Linked DNA regions of Neurospora crassa OR74A. The protein of the gene in region 2 purifies or fractionates together with the protein of the main gene of each other region. This does not show direct contact. Links are inferred from orthologs where the notes say so. Each region holds a gene or a part of one and is shown on either strand. Other genes may lie near its edges.

The links. The genes of interacting proteins can lie anywhere in the genome.
Region 1: the proteins of NCU06217 (region 2) and NCU07070 purify together in Saccharomyces cerevisiae (affinity purification with mass spectrometry, with the first as the bait; 3 studies listed by BioGRID). This does not show direct contact. The link is inferred for Neurospora crassa OR74A from reciprocal best matches to the Saccharomyces cerevisiae genes NOP4 and DBP9.
Region 3: the proteins of NCU06217 (region 2) and NCU08595 purify together in Saccharomyces cerevisiae (affinity purification with mass spectrometry; 4 studies listed by BioGRID, with this or other methods). This does not show direct contact. The link is inferred for Neurospora crassa OR74A from reciprocal best matches to the Saccharomyces cerevisiae genes NOP4 and RPF2.
Region 4: the proteins of NCU06217 (region 2) and NCU09380 purify together in Saccharomyces cerevisiae (affinity purification with mass spectrometry; 3 studies listed by BioGRID, with this or other methods). This does not show direct contact. The link is inferred for Neurospora crassa OR74A from reciprocal best matches to the Saccharomyces cerevisiae genes NOP4 and PUF6.

What each region holds. Positions count from the first base shown.
Region 1 is NC_026506.1:261,756-265,812, reverse strand, and holds NCU07070 (ATP-dependent RNA helicase dbp-9), read left to right. Parts: upstream 1-1,257; 5' UTR 1,258-1,454; coding exon 1,455-1,940; intron 1,941-2,018; coding exon 2,019-2,883; intron 2,884-2,942; coding exon 2,943-3,239; intron 3,240-3,305; coding exon 3,306-3,688; 3' UTR 3,689-3,850; downstream 3,851-4,057. Other genes in the region: NCU07069 (pre-mRNA splicing factor), read left to right, coding at 1-375.
Region 2 is NC_026503.1:1,936,366-1,940,292, forward strand, and holds NCU06217 (nucleolar protein 4), read left to right. Parts: upstream 1-1,127; 5' UTR 1,128-1,302; coding exon 1,303-3,621; 3' UTR 3,622-3,785; downstream 3,786-3,927. Other genes in the region: NCU06216 (nuclear condensin complex subunit 3), read right to left, coding at 1-588. UniProt on the Saccharomyces cerevisiae protein: Required for 60S ribosomal subunit synthesis. Probably involved in the processing of 27S rRNA to produce mature 25S rRNA.
Region 3 is NC_026501.1:9,517,966-9,521,332, reverse strand, and holds NCU08595 (ribosome biogenesis protein), read left to right. Parts: upstream 1-1,170; 5' UTR 1,171-1,272; coding exon 1,273-1,286; intron 1,287-1,352; coding exon 1,353-1,461; intron 1,462-1,531; coding exon 1,532-1,854; intron 1,855-1,924; coding exon 1,925-2,504; 3' UTR 2,505-2,867; downstream 2,868-3,367. UniProt on the Saccharomyces cerevisiae protein: Required for biogenesis of the 60S ribosomal subunit.
Region 4 is NC_026501.1:3,514,745-3,518,809, forward strand, and holds NCU09380 (pumilio domain-containing protein), read left to right. Parts: upstream 1-1,265; 5' UTR 1,266-1,440; coding exon 1,441-1,678; intron 1,679-1,753; coding exon 1,754-3,555; 3' UTR 3,556-3,781; downstream 3,782-4,065. Other genes in the region: NCU09381 (RWD domain-containing protein), read right to left, coding at 125-741, 813-879. UniProt on the Saccharomyces cerevisiae protein: RNA-binding protein involved in post-transcriptional regulation. Component of the ASH1 mRNP which transports the ASH1 mRNA to the distal tip of the bud, where the ASH1 protein is translated and targeted to the daughter cell nucleus.

The sequences.
Region 1 (4,057 bases), on a different chromosome or scaffold from region 2:
TCGCCGCGTGGCCGCCCATACCCCCCTCCCATAGACGATTACGACCGCCGTGGACCCCCTCCTCGCGGATACAGCCCCCGCCGCGACGGCTACCGTGATGGTTACCGTGACAGGTCGCCCCCACCAAGGCGCGAGTACTACGACGACAGGAGAGGTGGTTACCGCTCGCCACCCAGGCGCCCGATCGATGACTACCCGCCTCCCCGCGGACGTTACGATGACCCGTACCGTGCTCCCCGCGATTACCCTCCCGACCCGTACATGAGCGGACGCGGAGATGCTTACGATCGCCGTGCTCCTCCCGTGGACTTCCCTCCGCGTGACCCGTACCCTCGCGAGCCATACCCGCCGCGTGACTATGGTCGTCGTTACTAGATGCAGCGGGCGGCTCGAGGAGCTTCGAGGACTGGTATAGGGAAAAGGCGAAGTCAGCCCAATCGGTCCTTAAGGACTCCGGACGCTGAGTTGAACTTGTCTGAAACAGTCAGGCCGAATAGCAACGACACGGAACACTGCCGTGTGGTGCTCCAGAGTTGGACGATGATTGACGGAGAGGCTCCTGTAACAGATGGATAAAGGTCATGAGAGATGAATGCTGAAGTATTTCCTTGTCATCTGACTTTCACGTTCTTATGGTTTGGTAAAATGTTGGCGTCTGAGCTTTTGTGTGGTGACAGCCTGGTATGGAAGGTTCGCGCAAGTGTAGATTGGTGTGGTCAATTTCGTTTCGTGTTGGATGGATAGCTTGATTCTCAGCGCATGTTACTTGCCTCTCTGGTTATGTGGCTCGAGCGAAAAGAAAACGAAGAATGGCTTTTAAGGATTATGGCTCATGTTAAGATGTATTTCTTTCCGTTAGTAGGATTTCATCAAAGTTAGTATAGTAGCGAGCTTGATTTTGTCCAGACGTGATCTTGAACGTGATTGTAAGGTATGATTCTGAGGCCATTTTGAGCCTCAACGGCCTCGTAGGGCTCATGACTGAAGGCTGACTAGTGTAAGATCGTGGACCTGCGTTGAAGGTGGCAGGCAGCCCAGCCCAGGGCATATGATGGATCCCCCTGGTCGCTGTGGGGGTTCAAGTTGTCGGATTAAGCTTTTGTGGGGCAATGAGCTGCCGGTGCGCTAGCGCCTATGCCCACTGTGAAGTGGACTGGTAGCGCTGGCCAATCAGTGGGTGCGACGCCTGGGCGAGTCCCCGTCGAATTTTTTCCCAAACTTTTTTGGTCGATTCGAGGAATTGGCATCCATCCGTTTCGTAGCTTCCATTGAAGTGCAGCCCCTCCTCCTCCACTTCCAAAAACATTCTTCATCTACCATCTTTCTGTCCATAGACCATACCACGGCCAACTCTAGTCGACTGATCACCAACTTTCACCGTGTTATTAACTTACAATTACTGTCGCGCAAGACCAGTTTAATACCAAACTTCACAACCTAGATACCCCGACACAATGGCCAAGCGCAAGTTGAACGAGACGGACGAGCCGTCAGTCGTGACCGAGCCTCAGACCCAGAAGAAGACCAAGAAGTCTTCAACCGAGAAGAAGGAAAAGAAGGAGAAGAAGTCCAAGTCGCAGAGTGTCAAGCCACAGGAGGAGAAGCCCGAAGCGACCCAACAACAAGCGCAGCAACAAACCGAGGAGGAGCAAGAGCTCGAGCAACAACTAAAGGACGAGCAAAAACAACAAGACGAAAAGGACGAGAAGAAGCAGAGCGAGAAGGACGATGCCGACTTGACCTTCTCCGACCTGGGTCTCGACCCTCGCCTTGTGCAGGCCGTTGCGAAACAGAGCTTTGAGAAGCCGACGCTCGTGCAAAGGAAGGCGATCCCGCTTGCGCTGGCGGGCCAGGACGTGCTGTGCAAGGCGAAGACAGGATCGGGTAAGACGGCGGCATATGTGTTGCCTGTGTTGAGCGGCATTCTTAAGAGGAAGGCTGTGAGTTACCTTGACACCCGGGAGAAGAAGTTGTGTTGTGACAAGGTTGGATGCTAACGAAAAGGAAACCACAAACAGACCGACCCAACCCCCTTCACCTCCGCCCTCATCCTCGTCCCTACGCGCGAACTCGCCGACCAAGTCCACAAAGCCATCGATGCCTTCTCCGCCTTCTGCACCAAGGACATCCAATCCGCCAAGTTGACCGACAACGTGTCCGACGCCGTCCTGCGCTCCCTCCTCGCCAATGCCCCCGACGTGATCGTCTCCACTCCCGCCCGCGCCTGGCACAACATCGAGTCCGGCGCTCTCAGCGTCGCCAAGCTACAGTACCTCGTGCTCGACGAGGCCGACCTCGTCCTGTCCTACGGCTACGATGAAGATATGGAGAACATCGCCCGCTCGCTGCCCAAGGGCGGTGTGCAGACCACCATGATGAGCGCCACTCTCGTCTCTGACGAGCTCGACACGCTCAAGGGCTTTTTCTGCCGCAATCCCACCATGCTGGACCTGAAGGAAGAGTTCAGCAACGAGGACGAGAAGCTCACCCAGTTTTACGTCAAGTGCGGCGAGGATGACAAGTGGCTCATCAGCTACCTGATCTTCAAGCTGCAGCTGATCAAGGGTCCCTGTCTGGTGTTTGTGGCGGATATCGATCGCGCGTACCGCTTGAAGCTGTTTTTCGAGCAGTTTAGCATTCGCAGCTGTGTGCTGAACTCGGAGTTGCCGATTAATACACGGATCAAGATTATCGAGGAGTTTAACAGGGGTATTTATGATATCATCATTGCGTCGGATGAGAGGAGCGAGGTCTTCTTGGAGGACGAGAAGACTGAGGAGAAGAAGGAGGAGCAAGGTGAAAAGAAGGAGGGCGATGAGAAGAAGAACGGCAAGGGAAAGAAGAAGAAGGGCAGGAGGGATCAGGAGTATGGTGTTTCGCGAGGTAAGTCTGTCTGCGTTTTGGTCCTACATGGTTCTGGATACTAACCCAAATGATCCCAGGCATCGACTTCAAAAACGTTGCCGCCGTTATCAACTTCGACATGCCCACTTCTTCCTCTTCCTACATTCACCGGATAGGCCGCACCGCCCGCGCCGGTCGCGCCGGTATTGCTCTATCGATGGTCGTCCCTCACGATCTCTTTGGCAAGCACAAGCCCACCAGCATCAAGCAGTGCGAGAAGGACGAGAAGGTTCTGGCCAAGGTGATGCGCCAGCAGGCCAAGCTCAACCGCAAGTTGGAGCCGTACAACTTTAACAAGGATCAGATGGAGGCTTTCCGTTATCGTATGAACGATGGTCAGTACCCCCTTTCCCCCTTATCATTTCGTCCATTTGACCATTCATTCTCTAACTGAGCAATAGCCCTCCGCGCCGTAACAAAAGTTGCCATCCGCGAAGCCCGCACCCGCGAACTGCGACAAGAACTCCTGCGCTCCGAGACGCTCAAGCGCTACTTTGAAGAGAACCCGCACGAGCTGTCGCACCTGCGCCACGACGGCGAGCTCGGCACCAAGATGCGCCAGCAAGCCCATCTCAAGCACGTGCCTGATTACTTGCTGCCCCAGGACGGCAAGAACGCTCTCACGGAAACCCAGATTGGGTTCGTGCCGTTTAAGAAGCAGGGCGACGATAAGAAGACGAGAGGCAAGAAGGGGGCCAAGGGTGGAAAAGGTGGGCATGGGAAGTATAAGAAGGGACCTGGGGGGAGGAAGAATGTGTTGAAGACTTTTAGGGTTAGGAAGTAGAGGGACGGCGTCTGGTAGATGAGATGGGAAAGGAAAAGGGGTCTGCATTTTCTGGTGTTTATGTGTGTGTGTGTGTGTGTGTGTGGCTTTTTTTTGGTTAAAAAATACCTAGGCTAGGCTTGGTGGTCTGAAGGGGAATCAAGATATCATTGCACATCTACGGGATATCAAAGAGAAGTATGAGTCCTGAACGTTAAGCTGTTGATCCCATTTATGGGTTGGTATCGGATCAAAACGAAGGTGAAATGGCAATTATAAGTTTAAGCTCACCTTCAAGCTCGCCTTCAATCGAAGTTCATCGAGATTTAAAGGAAACGTGAGTAGGTACATGGTGCCTTCCAAGGCCGAGAGAACATCTAGGACGGGACG
Region 2 (3,927 bases):
CCTAAGTAGACTTGACCGTAGCTTCTGGAAGAGGTCGTCGTCAATCGCGTCGAGGGAGTTGATGATATGAGATATGAGTTGCGTTGACCGATAGCGCACAAACTTGTCCTTGGCGATCATCAAGGGAAGAACGGTTTCCATCAAGTGTCCGGTAAGCCGGGTGCTGGGTGTCTCGGGCATGGTGCTGGCGTCCGGGTCGGCCTCGCCGAGAATTTCGTTATCCTTCTCGACGGCATGCCGCAGGAACAGACCGATGAAGCGCACCGTCTTCTCGCCGACTCCCTCGCTCTTCTTGATGGGCATGACGCGCAGGACACAGCGTACAAACTCCTTGTTGAAGTCATCTTCCTCGAACTCGTCGGCCTCGGCGGGCTTCTTCGTACTCGTCGGCTCGTAGCAGCATGCTTCTTGTATCTTGCGCAGGGTCACGGCCAGCTTGCGATGGGATGCCGTGGTCTTTTGGGCGTCGCCGAAGACGGTCGCGACTTGTGTGCGTAGCGCATTGTCGGGAGTATCCAAGGGTGCTTCTGGTACGACCGAGGTCTGGCGCGCCCCGCGTGTCGCTCTCGTCGATCTGCCCGGCGCCATGGTCGGCAATGACTGTTGGTATTAGCGGGGCCTGCACAGCGGCAGTCCTCTATTTGTATGCGATATGGAAAAGGTACAAGTAATCCAAGCCCAAGATATAAGAAAACAAGCAAAAAAAAAAGACGGATGTGAGGTTTCGTAGGATGGCTTTTGCAACTGAGCAGGAGCCGGGGATGAATGAAAGTGACACTATTCGCGAATGAAGGTTGTTTTGTTTACTTTGCACTGCAGGTGGGCTGCTGTGAATTTCCTGGCGGCCCCGTCGTCACCTAGCGGGAGGGACTGTCTGACCTGCTGCAGAGGGGTCGCGCTGCTCGCTGCGCTGTATGTCGCAAAACGTATCGACCCTGCTGGTGAGCTTGAATGGTCTGTGCGCCCCGCCTTTCCTTTGGTGTGGATTGTGGAAGCGCGCGAAGAGAGGAAGTGGAAGAGACGGGCTCAGGATCCCGCTGCCAAGCTTGAGGGAAACGATAAGCTCCCTTGTACGCTCTTATCGGGACTCCACTTCGAATATTTTTCTTTGGGCGAAGGGTCCAGAACTGTTGTCGCTGGGGGAAGCTGTGCACTCGGCGATTCCCATCCACCATTTGCGCCTTGAGAGGGTCTGTTCTCTTCACTTTTGGTTTGATTTGGCTGCTTTCTCATCTCTCCCCTTCTTTCAACAACAACACCACCTAACAAACACATAACATAACAACCCGATTGCTTGCAATAATGGGCAAGGACGGGAACAAGAAGCGCCAACGCGAGGTGGACGAGGAGATCCCAGTTGATCCCGATGCCATCAAGGATTCCGATGTTGCTGCACAGAACCCCCCAAGCAAGAAAGCTAGAGTTGAATCCAACCGCTCTCTCTTCATCCGACAGCTGCCTCCAAGTGCCACCGCCGAGTCTCTGACCGAGTTCTTCTCCCAACATTTCCCTGTGAAGCATGCCACCGTCGTCCTCGATCCCAAGACCAAGACCTCGCGCGGCTATGGTTTCGTCACCTTCACCGATCCCGAGGATACCCTCGAGGCCAAGGCCAAGCTCAACAACTACCTGCTTGAAGGGAAGCGCCTGAAGCTCGACATTGCCGAAGCCAGACACCGTGATGCCAAGAAGACCGGACCCGTTGTGTCCAAGGTCGCCGAGGAGAAGCAGAAACGTGCCGAAGCCGTCGCCGAGGCCCAGAAACCCAACAAACTCATCATCCGCAACCTGCCATGGAGCATCAAGAAGCCTGAGCAGTTGGCCGAGCTATTCAAGCCATATGGTAAGGTCAGGTTCGCCGACTTGCCCAACGATAAGGGCAAGCTCTCTGGTTTCGGTTTCGTCACCCTCCGTGGTCGCAAGAATGCCGAAAAGGCTATCGAGGCCGTCAATGGCATGGAGGTCGATGGCCGCCCATTGGCCGTCGACTGGGCCGTGGATAAGCAGACATGGGCCCAGCAGAACGGCGAAAAGTCAGACGACAAGAAGGAGAAAAAGGACAAGAAGGTTAAGGAACCCAAGGACAAGAAGACAGAGGAGGAGGAGACTGCTGGCATGACACAGGAGGAAAAGGATCTTTACAACTTCTTCAAGAGCCAAGGCGAGAACCTCGAGAGTGAAGACGAGGAGGACGAAGACAAGGACAAGGAGGACGAGGATGAAGACGATGAGGACAAGGACGAAGATGATATCGAGGAGGACGAGGAGGACGAGGAGGATGAGGAGGAGGAACAGAAGCCCAAGCGGCTAACCGACAACTCTCTAACACTCTTCATTCGCAACCTACCATACACCACCACCGATGAGCAGCTGAAGGCGCACTTTACCCAGTTCGGCGGCATCAGATACGCCCGAGTTGTCAAGGACAAGGCCACCGACAGGCCAGCCGGTACCGGTTTCGTGTGCTTTTTCAACGAGGAGGAGATGAAGGCCTGCCTCAAGGGCGCCCCCCGCCATCAACCTACCACCACACTCGTCAAGCACTCCATCCTTCAAGACGAGACCGTCGATCCGGAGGGCAAGTACACGCTCGACGGGCGCATCCTTCAAGTCGCCCACGCCGTCTCCAAGGACGAAGCCGAGCGTCTCGCGGAGGCCTCGGCCGGTAAGAAGGACAAGGACAAGAGACGCCTGTACCTCCTGAACGAGGGCCAAATCACACCCTCGTCTACGCTCTTCAAGGTCCTTACCCCGGCCGAAATCAAGATGCGCGAAGCGTCGGCCAACCAGCGCAAGAAGCTGATCCAGTCCAACCCGTCGCTGCACCTGTCGCTCACCCGTCTCGCGCTGCGCAACCTGCCGCGCAACATCGGGTCCAAGGAGCTCAAGGCGCTCGCGCGCCAGGCCGTCGTCGGCTTCGCCAAGGACGTCAAGGAAGGCAAGCGCGCGCCCATCTCCAAGGAAGAAAACTCGCGCGGTGGTGAGCAAGACAAGGAGAACGAGCGCCTCCGGAAGCTCAAGGGCAAGGGTGTCGTCAAGCAGGCCAAGATCGTGTTCGAGACGACCACGGGCACCAAGGTGGACGAAAAGGTCGGTGGCGGCAAGTCGCGTGGCTACGGCTTTATCGAGTACTCGTCGCACCGCTGGGCGCTCATGGGCCTGCGCTACCTGAACGGGTTTGCCGTCAAGAACGAGCTGGGCAAGACGCAAAGGCTGATTGTCGAGTTCGCGATCGAGAACGCGAACGTGGTGCAGCGGAGGAGACAGGATGAGGAGAAGCAAAGGACGATGACGCCCGCGGAAAGGAAGGCGGAGATGGAGGAAAAGAAGAGATCCAAGGAGGCCAAGGAGGCATACAAGGCTGGAAGGAAGGCGGATAGGAAGAAGGGCGCTAAGCCTGAGAAGCCTGCTGGGTGGAACAAGGGCAAGGATAAGAAGGGCCCGGCTGAGGTGGCCAAGGCCGCAGGCGCCGCCCCGGCGAAGGAGGTGAAGGCTGAAGATATCAAGGTGGATAAGAAGGGCAAGAAGAGTGAGATGGTCAAGGAGGCCCTCATGACCAAGATCCTGGCGAGAAAGAGGCAACAGAGGAAAAAGAAGGCTAACATTAGGGGCAAGAAATAAGCCTGGGCTCTTGGAGTTTACCTAATGTAGGGAGAGAGTGTGTGTTTTTCTGCTGCTGGCCCGGAATGTTAAACCATTTATGTTATTCTTAGGGCCTTTCCTGTTTGCTATCTAAGTATACCTTTATCACGATCAAAAGCAATCCCTTAGCGTTTTCCAACACCTCTCAGTCTATTTCCGCCGTGGACACTCGTGAACTCTTTCGCTGGCAGTTCTTAACCAAGACAACGCTCAATAATATTGTACGCCCTCTACATGCTATTATTATATAATAGAACGCCTGTTTGCCTGCTTTGTTTTTCTCGC
Region 3 (3,367 bases), on a different chromosome or scaffold from region 2:
CAAACCTCCTTCTCTCACCACACCCTCACGGGAACATGCTTCCAACGAGTTCACGAGTCACGACAGTTTACTTGCATCCCAGGCTTCTCAGTCGCGGGAAACTGCATAGAACTTTTCGAAAATGCATTCCTAATGCCCGAGTCTCCGAACACTCCACATGTACATACATACATACAGCTGCGGACAGTTTAAGTTTCAGTTTCAGTGGCATGGGCTGGGCTTGACGAGAATGCAATCGCCCTTTTTCAAAACCGTTGAAAAGTAGGTAGGTAGCTTCCCGATGGCATACATACCTAGTGACGGCGGAGGCGGAGGCGGTGAAAGGAGGAGTGCCGAGGATCCATGGAACAACGGTAAAAGAAGCCACCACGTGAATGGGATGCGTTCCGGAGGTTGTACGATACATGCAAAGTATGGATGGGATGGGTATGGGCTGTTTGGACGTGATGGGGAAAGAGACCGGGGAGTCTCATCAGGTTGGATGGATATCCTACATTTATGGTCCAGTCAAGACGACCACGAGAGAGAGAGGGGACATGGCGAAATAGATCATTGTGAGAGGAGGGAAGCTATACTGAACTGCTTCATGGTGTTAGAGAACGACAGGCCAGGTAGGTCCGTAGTAGGTGGATGAGAGCATTCTTGATGCTCGCCGGGAGCAATGACTGGAGAAATCTGGTTTTATGTCAGAGTAGAACGGTTTTAAGGAATCTGTATTGTGAACCCGAAGTGTAGAAGAACACCATCCCAATATGTTGGCTTCGTGTATTCAGAATCTTCTCAAGTGTGCTGACCTTGTAAGAGTGATGCCAGAGTTTTGTGATGTTGCTGACTTGGCAATCATATTGCTCAATGCTTGTTTCCCAAAGAGCAAGTGATTATCGAGTGATCAGAACAAGAATATGGAACTCAAGGTTGACTCCATCACCAACCTAATTGTGATGAGACGGCAGAAATGGAAATGATTTTGGTTGCCGTTGCAGTGACGTTGAGGCGTGAAATGGAATGGAACCTAACAGCCCGTGAACCCCTGAACGACAGGCAGGGGAAAGCCAGCGCCCAGTGGACGAGCGGACAATCTTGACCCCACCTGCCCCACAAAATTTCGAGTTCAAGGTCTCCTCTTATCGATAAGCGCCGTTCTGGAATTTCTTTGCTCGACCATCACGACGACGATTTGCAGGTGAAGGAGACAGTCCCCAGTCCACATCACCACCTTGCGGTACCTATCCAATCCACCCACTACCGTCATCGCATAACCAGACCGCCAAAATGCTCCGCCAAGTGTACGTCAATCGATCATGACAATGGAACATACCGAACATTAGCTGACAGTTCTCTTCTCCGCACAGCAAGCCGCGGACAGCCCGTTCCAAGAGGGCGCTCGAGAAGCGTGCCCCCAAGGTCAATGAGAACCCCAAGACCGCCCTCTTCCTTCGCGGCACCACCTGCAGCCAAGTCGTATGTCACCTCCTCCATATCCTCTCCTCCTATATATGATGGTATCATCAAAATCTAATACAGTCCGCAGACCCAAGATGCCATGCAAGATCTCTACTCGCTGCGCCAAACCCACGCCAAGCGCTTCCACAAGAAGAACCCCGTCCACCCCTTCGAGGACGCCAGCTCCCTGACCTTCTTCTCTGAGAAGAACGACACCTCGCTCATCCTCTTCGGCTCCAGCAGCAAGAAGAGGCCCCACACCATCACCTTCTGCCGCACCTTCGACTACAAGATGCTCGACATGCTCGAGTTCTACCTCGACCCCGAGACCTTCCGCAGCATTGCCCAGTTCAAGACCAAGAAGGTGCCCGTAGGCACCAAGCCTTTGATGGTGTTCGCCGGTACTGCTTTGTATGTCCCCCGATTCTTGTGACAAAGAGGAAGGAGTAGTGAATGAACGTCAGCTAACCGAGTACCACAGCGAATCCCCCGTCCCCAACGCCTTCACCACCGCCAAATCCATGCTCATCGACTTCTTCCGCGGCGAGCCCTCAGACAAGATCGACGTTGAGGGTCTGCAGTACTGCGTTGTCGTTTCCGCCGACGAGCCCACTTCCTCCTCCACCGATCCCTCGGACCCCTCGACAAAACCCACCCTCCACCTGCGCGCCTACCTGATCCGCACCAAGCGTTCCGGCCAGAAGCTCCCCCGAGTCGAAGTCGAGGAGCACGGCCCCCGCATGGACTTCCGCCTCGGTCGCCTCCAGCAGCCCGACGCGGACATGCTCAAGGCTGCGATGCGCAAGCCCAAGACCAACGAGGAGCGCACCAAGAAGAACATCAGCATGGACAGCATCGGTGACAAGATTGGTAGGATCCATATGGGCAAGCTGGATCTCAGCGAGTTGCAGACGAGAAAGATGAAGGGTCTCAAGAGGAGCAGGGATGTGGTGGATGAGGACTTTGATGATGCGGATATGCCGATGGAGGGCGTCAAGGAGGTCAGTGACAGGATCGTGGGGCCGAGGAAGAAGAAGGCGAGGGATGTCGTTGAGTTTTGAGTTGAGCAAGAGTAGGGAGACGGGAGAATGAGGGGTTGAGGGGATGAAGAAGAAGGCAGGCAGGGAGGAGGTTTAATCTTTTTTCTCTCACAATTGTTGCGATCATCCACCAAGACACAAGGCGTTTTTGGGAGTTTTTAGTTTTATTACTTTACTTTATCTTATATCATTGGCTGCTGCTGCTCTTGGGGAAGATGAACATTCATGCCAGATCAGATCATCAACAGAAAAGAAGAGATGACCAAAGCTGGAGTTATTGATGGATGATGGGTTGTTCGTGAAGTTGCCTTGCCAAAGCTTGTAGACCTAGACATCTATCTAGCATATACGTGATATTTATACCAACCAACATATGGGACCATAGGATCAACCGATCGACCGGCCGAATTTGCCGCTACAGCTTTGTTTGGAAGAATCTAGTATTGTCAGCACTCGCTGCCTACTATCACATGGCACTCATGCTATTTCCCTCTTCTACCTGGATACCTTGCTACCTTGCTACCTTGCTACCTTGCTACCTTGCAACTATCTATAATCATAGAAAAAAGACAATGCCATAATCATGTACAACCATAGGAAAACCTATGAACTATTCCCTGTTTCGATCTTTGGTTTGGAAACGTCTATAAGGGGTGTCGGTGAGGCAGTCTGCAGACTGATTTAGTACAAAATTATGAAACCAAATATCCATGCCGAGAACGATTGATTAGTGTATATGTTGACTGACTACAAGGTTATGAATGAAATGCCTGTACCAGAAATTGTGTTTGTTAGAGCAGAGTTGTATCAATCAATGATGGCTTCCTTATGCTTGTCTATAAAGAGACTAAAGCCAGTCCCACCAAAGAGTTAAGACTCGAGAT
Region 4 (4,065 bases), on a different chromosome or scaffold from region 2:
AAAAGTAATGTTCAGGATTGGTTTTCACATGGGTTAGGTATACTTAGAGCGGATTAAAGCCTACAGCAAAGAATTAGATAATTTTGGCGAACGTGATAGAGGGCTTACGATTTGTCTAACGGTCCTAAACCGTGAGTTTCTGGACCTCTTCCACGGGGACGTCATCATCGCCTTCCAGGTCCTCATCACCCTTCCCAGCCAAGCCCCTCTCCCAGAGTTGTTTGCCCGTGAGCTTGACAGGCTCCTTTATCCTTGCCTTCTTCATCTCGGCCGCCTTTTCCTCTTCCTCCTTGATTCTCTGATCTTCCAGTTCCTGCAAGAAACTCTCCCTCCACTTCAAAAAGGTTTCGCGATTGACGGGAGTGCCCTGGAACTTCTTGTTCTCTTCGCGCTCCGCGGCAAGGGCGGCCTCCTCTTGCGCCTTGATGGCAGCGTCCCTCCGCTCTACTGCCAGTTGCTCCGCAGCATCCTTCAACGCCGACACAACAGTAAAGATCATGGCCATCCCCAAATTCTCTTCAATTGTCTCTTGGATACCTTCGAGCAGCTGGAACCGATCGTCGGCAATGTTTATGTACTGATGGGGCGGCGCATTTGGGGCGGACGCAAGCTCAAGGAAAGGTGGCTTGTCGGGATAGTCTTCGGGGTACCGTACGGTAAGTACCATGCTTGGTGTTTCTTCGGCATCATCATCAGGAATGTCCAGCGTGATAGTAATCCGGTATTCGGTATCGGAGATATCTAGACGAGTCGAGCTTGGGTTAGGACAGGCCCATGCCTGAACGGCAACCGATGTGGGCGAACAATCGAACCTTGGATCTCATCTGGGAAGATGGAGTCGAGGACTTCCCTCTCTTCAATTTGTTCTTCGCGGCCCATGATGTCCAATCGGTAGGGCGCCTTTCAAGTTTGCAGTGTGCTGGACGACATAAAACGTGAAAGACTCCTTCCAAAAGTGGGTGCTGGCAATGTTGACTTTCAGGCGTTTACTAACCTAGAGAAGAGGACGGGAGGGGCAACCAGACGGCATTGCAGTGACTGTAGCGTCAGGTGCAGGCCAAACTCCAAAACGCGAGCGCGGCTCAATCTATGGTGGGGGTCCTGCCTGGGTTCCTTGTTATATCAATGGACAGTTCTAGACAGTGTCGATCAAGTCGCCCCACCACAGAACCCCGGAAAGCTTCTCACCGCCCGGCAGATGCCAGGATGCGGATCCAGAAATTTTCAGCGGAAAACGTGCTACAGAATTTCCAATTCAGAGGCTTCAGATACAGGGCACTCCAAAGTTTCGGATTCCCGTCTGAATACCTGCACTTTCACATATTCCTGCTCGACCATCACCTTTGAACCAGCGCCCACCCAGTACGACGTCAACACGAGCCCCCCATACCTAGATCAATCCTTCATATCCCGGAGCAACACAGACATCGCATAGCATCAATGGCGACCAAGTCGTCTTCAGCAGCCGCTGCCGGCGGAAAGAGAAAGGCGTTCGGCAAGCATAACGAGGATGGCCGTACAAAAGCAGTAAAGACCACTTCTGGCAAGAAACACATCAAGGCCGAAGCCGAAGACAATGAATCCTCCGATGAAAGCTCAGACGCCGAGTTCCACACAGGAGAGACCACAACATCCACGCCCAATGAGTCCGGCAATGGCTCCAACGAGACCAAGTCTGGTACGTTGTCTCTCTTTACCATATCTGCCCCATGATGACCGAACCTCGCTCTGTTATTTGACTAACACAACGCAGGCACAAGCTCCAGGGAGGCGCACGCCAAGCAAAAACAACTCGCCCAAGAACGCAAGAACGCGAAGCCACTGGCCGATGAGGTGCACCGTACCAAGAAGCTGTGGGAGAAGCTCCGTCGCAAGTCGCATGTGCCTAAGGAGGAGCGCCAACAGCTCGTTGAGGAGTTGTTCACCATCATAACTGGCCGCATCAAGGACTTTGTCCTAAAGCACGATGCTGTCCGTGCCGTCCAGACCGCCGTCAAGTACGCCACCCCGGTTCAGCGTAGGCAGATTGCGAAGGAACTTCAAGGAACCTATGCGCAGCTCGCCGAGAGCAGGTATGCCAAGTTCCTGATCGGCAAGCTTCTGGTGCAGAACGACAAGGAGATCCGCGACATCATCGTCCCCGAGTTTTACGGCAAAGTTCGCAAGCTCATCAACCATGCTGAGGGTTCCTGGATTCTGGACGATGTCTACCGCGGTGTTGCGACCAAGGAGCAAAAGGCCAACCTCCTTCGCGAGTGGTACGGTCCCGAGTTTGCTCTGTTTAGGCAACCCAAGGGTACCGAGGTCACTGGCGATCTCTCCAAGATTTTGGCTGACGAGCCCAGCAAGAGGACAACGGCGATGAAGTACCTTTTTGACATGGCCAATGGCCTCATTCAAAAGAAAATGACTGGTTTCACCATGCTCCACGACGCTCTGTTGCAGTACTTCCTCAACCTTAACCCCGAAAGCGAAGAGTTCAAGGAGTTCTTTGAGACTATTAAGGAGGATGAGACCGGCGACTTGCTCAAAAACATGGCATTCACCAAGTCTGGCGCCCGCCTCGTGTGCTTGCTCCTTGCGCACGGAACCGCCAAGGACCGCAAGCAGCTGCTCAAGGCCTACAAGGACACCTACCAGCTCATGAGTGGTGACAATCACGCGCACGCGATCATCCTCGCCGCCTACGATCTCCTTGATGACACTGTCCTCACGTCCAAGACGATCTTCTCCGAGATTCTTGGCAAGAATGAAGAGAAGGATGCCGAGCACGTCATCTTTCTCGCTAACGACCTCAACGCGCGCACGACGGTATTATATCTCTTTGAGGGAATGTCCAAAGCGTTGTTCCCTGCCAGCCACGCCACCGACCTGGAGATTCTGAAGGAGATTCACGAGATCCGCACCAAGACCAGCAAGAAGGACGCCGAGGTTAGGCGTAAGGAGTTGGTGACGGCCATGTCGCCTCAGCTCCTTGCGGCCATCGCAAGCTCACCCGCCGACCTGGTGGCCACCTCTTTCGGTTGCCAGTTTGTTACTGATGTTTTGCTTTCGGCGACTGGAGATAAGAAGGCCGCGTTGGAGGCTATTGCCTCTACTGCCGGTGGCGATCCCAACGCTGAGGCGCCCAAGGATGCCTACCAAGCTCTTCCCCCTCACATCTCGACAACCATTCACGGTGGCCGCATGTTCAAGACACTGATTGCTGGCGGCCGGTTTGACAAGGCCACAGGCAGCATCCAGAAGGTCGACCCCCCGCTCAACTTCGCCGACCTTCTCTATCCCGTCATCAAGGACCACATTGTACAATGGGCCACCGGCCCTAGCTCTTGGACGGTGCTAGCTATGCTCGAGGCTTCCGACTTCTCATCGAAGAAGGAGCTCCTCAAGACCCTCAAGTCCAACAAGAAGGCCCTTATCAAGGCCGCAACTGAAGCACCGGCGTCGAAGAAGGAAGAGATGGAGGAGAAGCCAAAGGCTAAGAAGGGCAAGAATGCTTCTGCCCCCAAGGGCAACCAGGGCTCGAAGCTCCTTTTAGAGAAGCTCGATGCCTAGGTTGAGGAAATTGTAGGCGTCGCATGGCTATAGTGACAAAAGTGGACGGTAGCCACAGGTTGACTAAATACCCCTTTTATGTTGTTTACTTTGTCAATGCGATTTTGTTGGGCCCCGCGTAATTTGCGGTTGACTGATAGCCCTGTTTACAAGTCTGGACATGTTATATATGATTGCATAGAGAAAAGCTTGCTTCCAGACTTCCCTGATGGTTCAGATATGACGCTTGAAACAGGCCGTGGCCTACTTGGAGTGAGGTAAATCATAATTAACCAGACAGGAGCGAGACAACTTTCTTATATTCGCCATTCCGGACCTTGGAAGGCCTTATTATCATACGACCTTCACATTGAACCACTTGTACCACAATTTTCGAGGGACACAACCTCCCCATATCAACATGGCGTGTAGAGGCAAAGTGCTGTGCAAACATTTTGACTGCGGCACCAAGACCGACATATATCGGGTTCACCGTCACTTGATGGCTAAGTGCCGCTTGGAAACCGAATA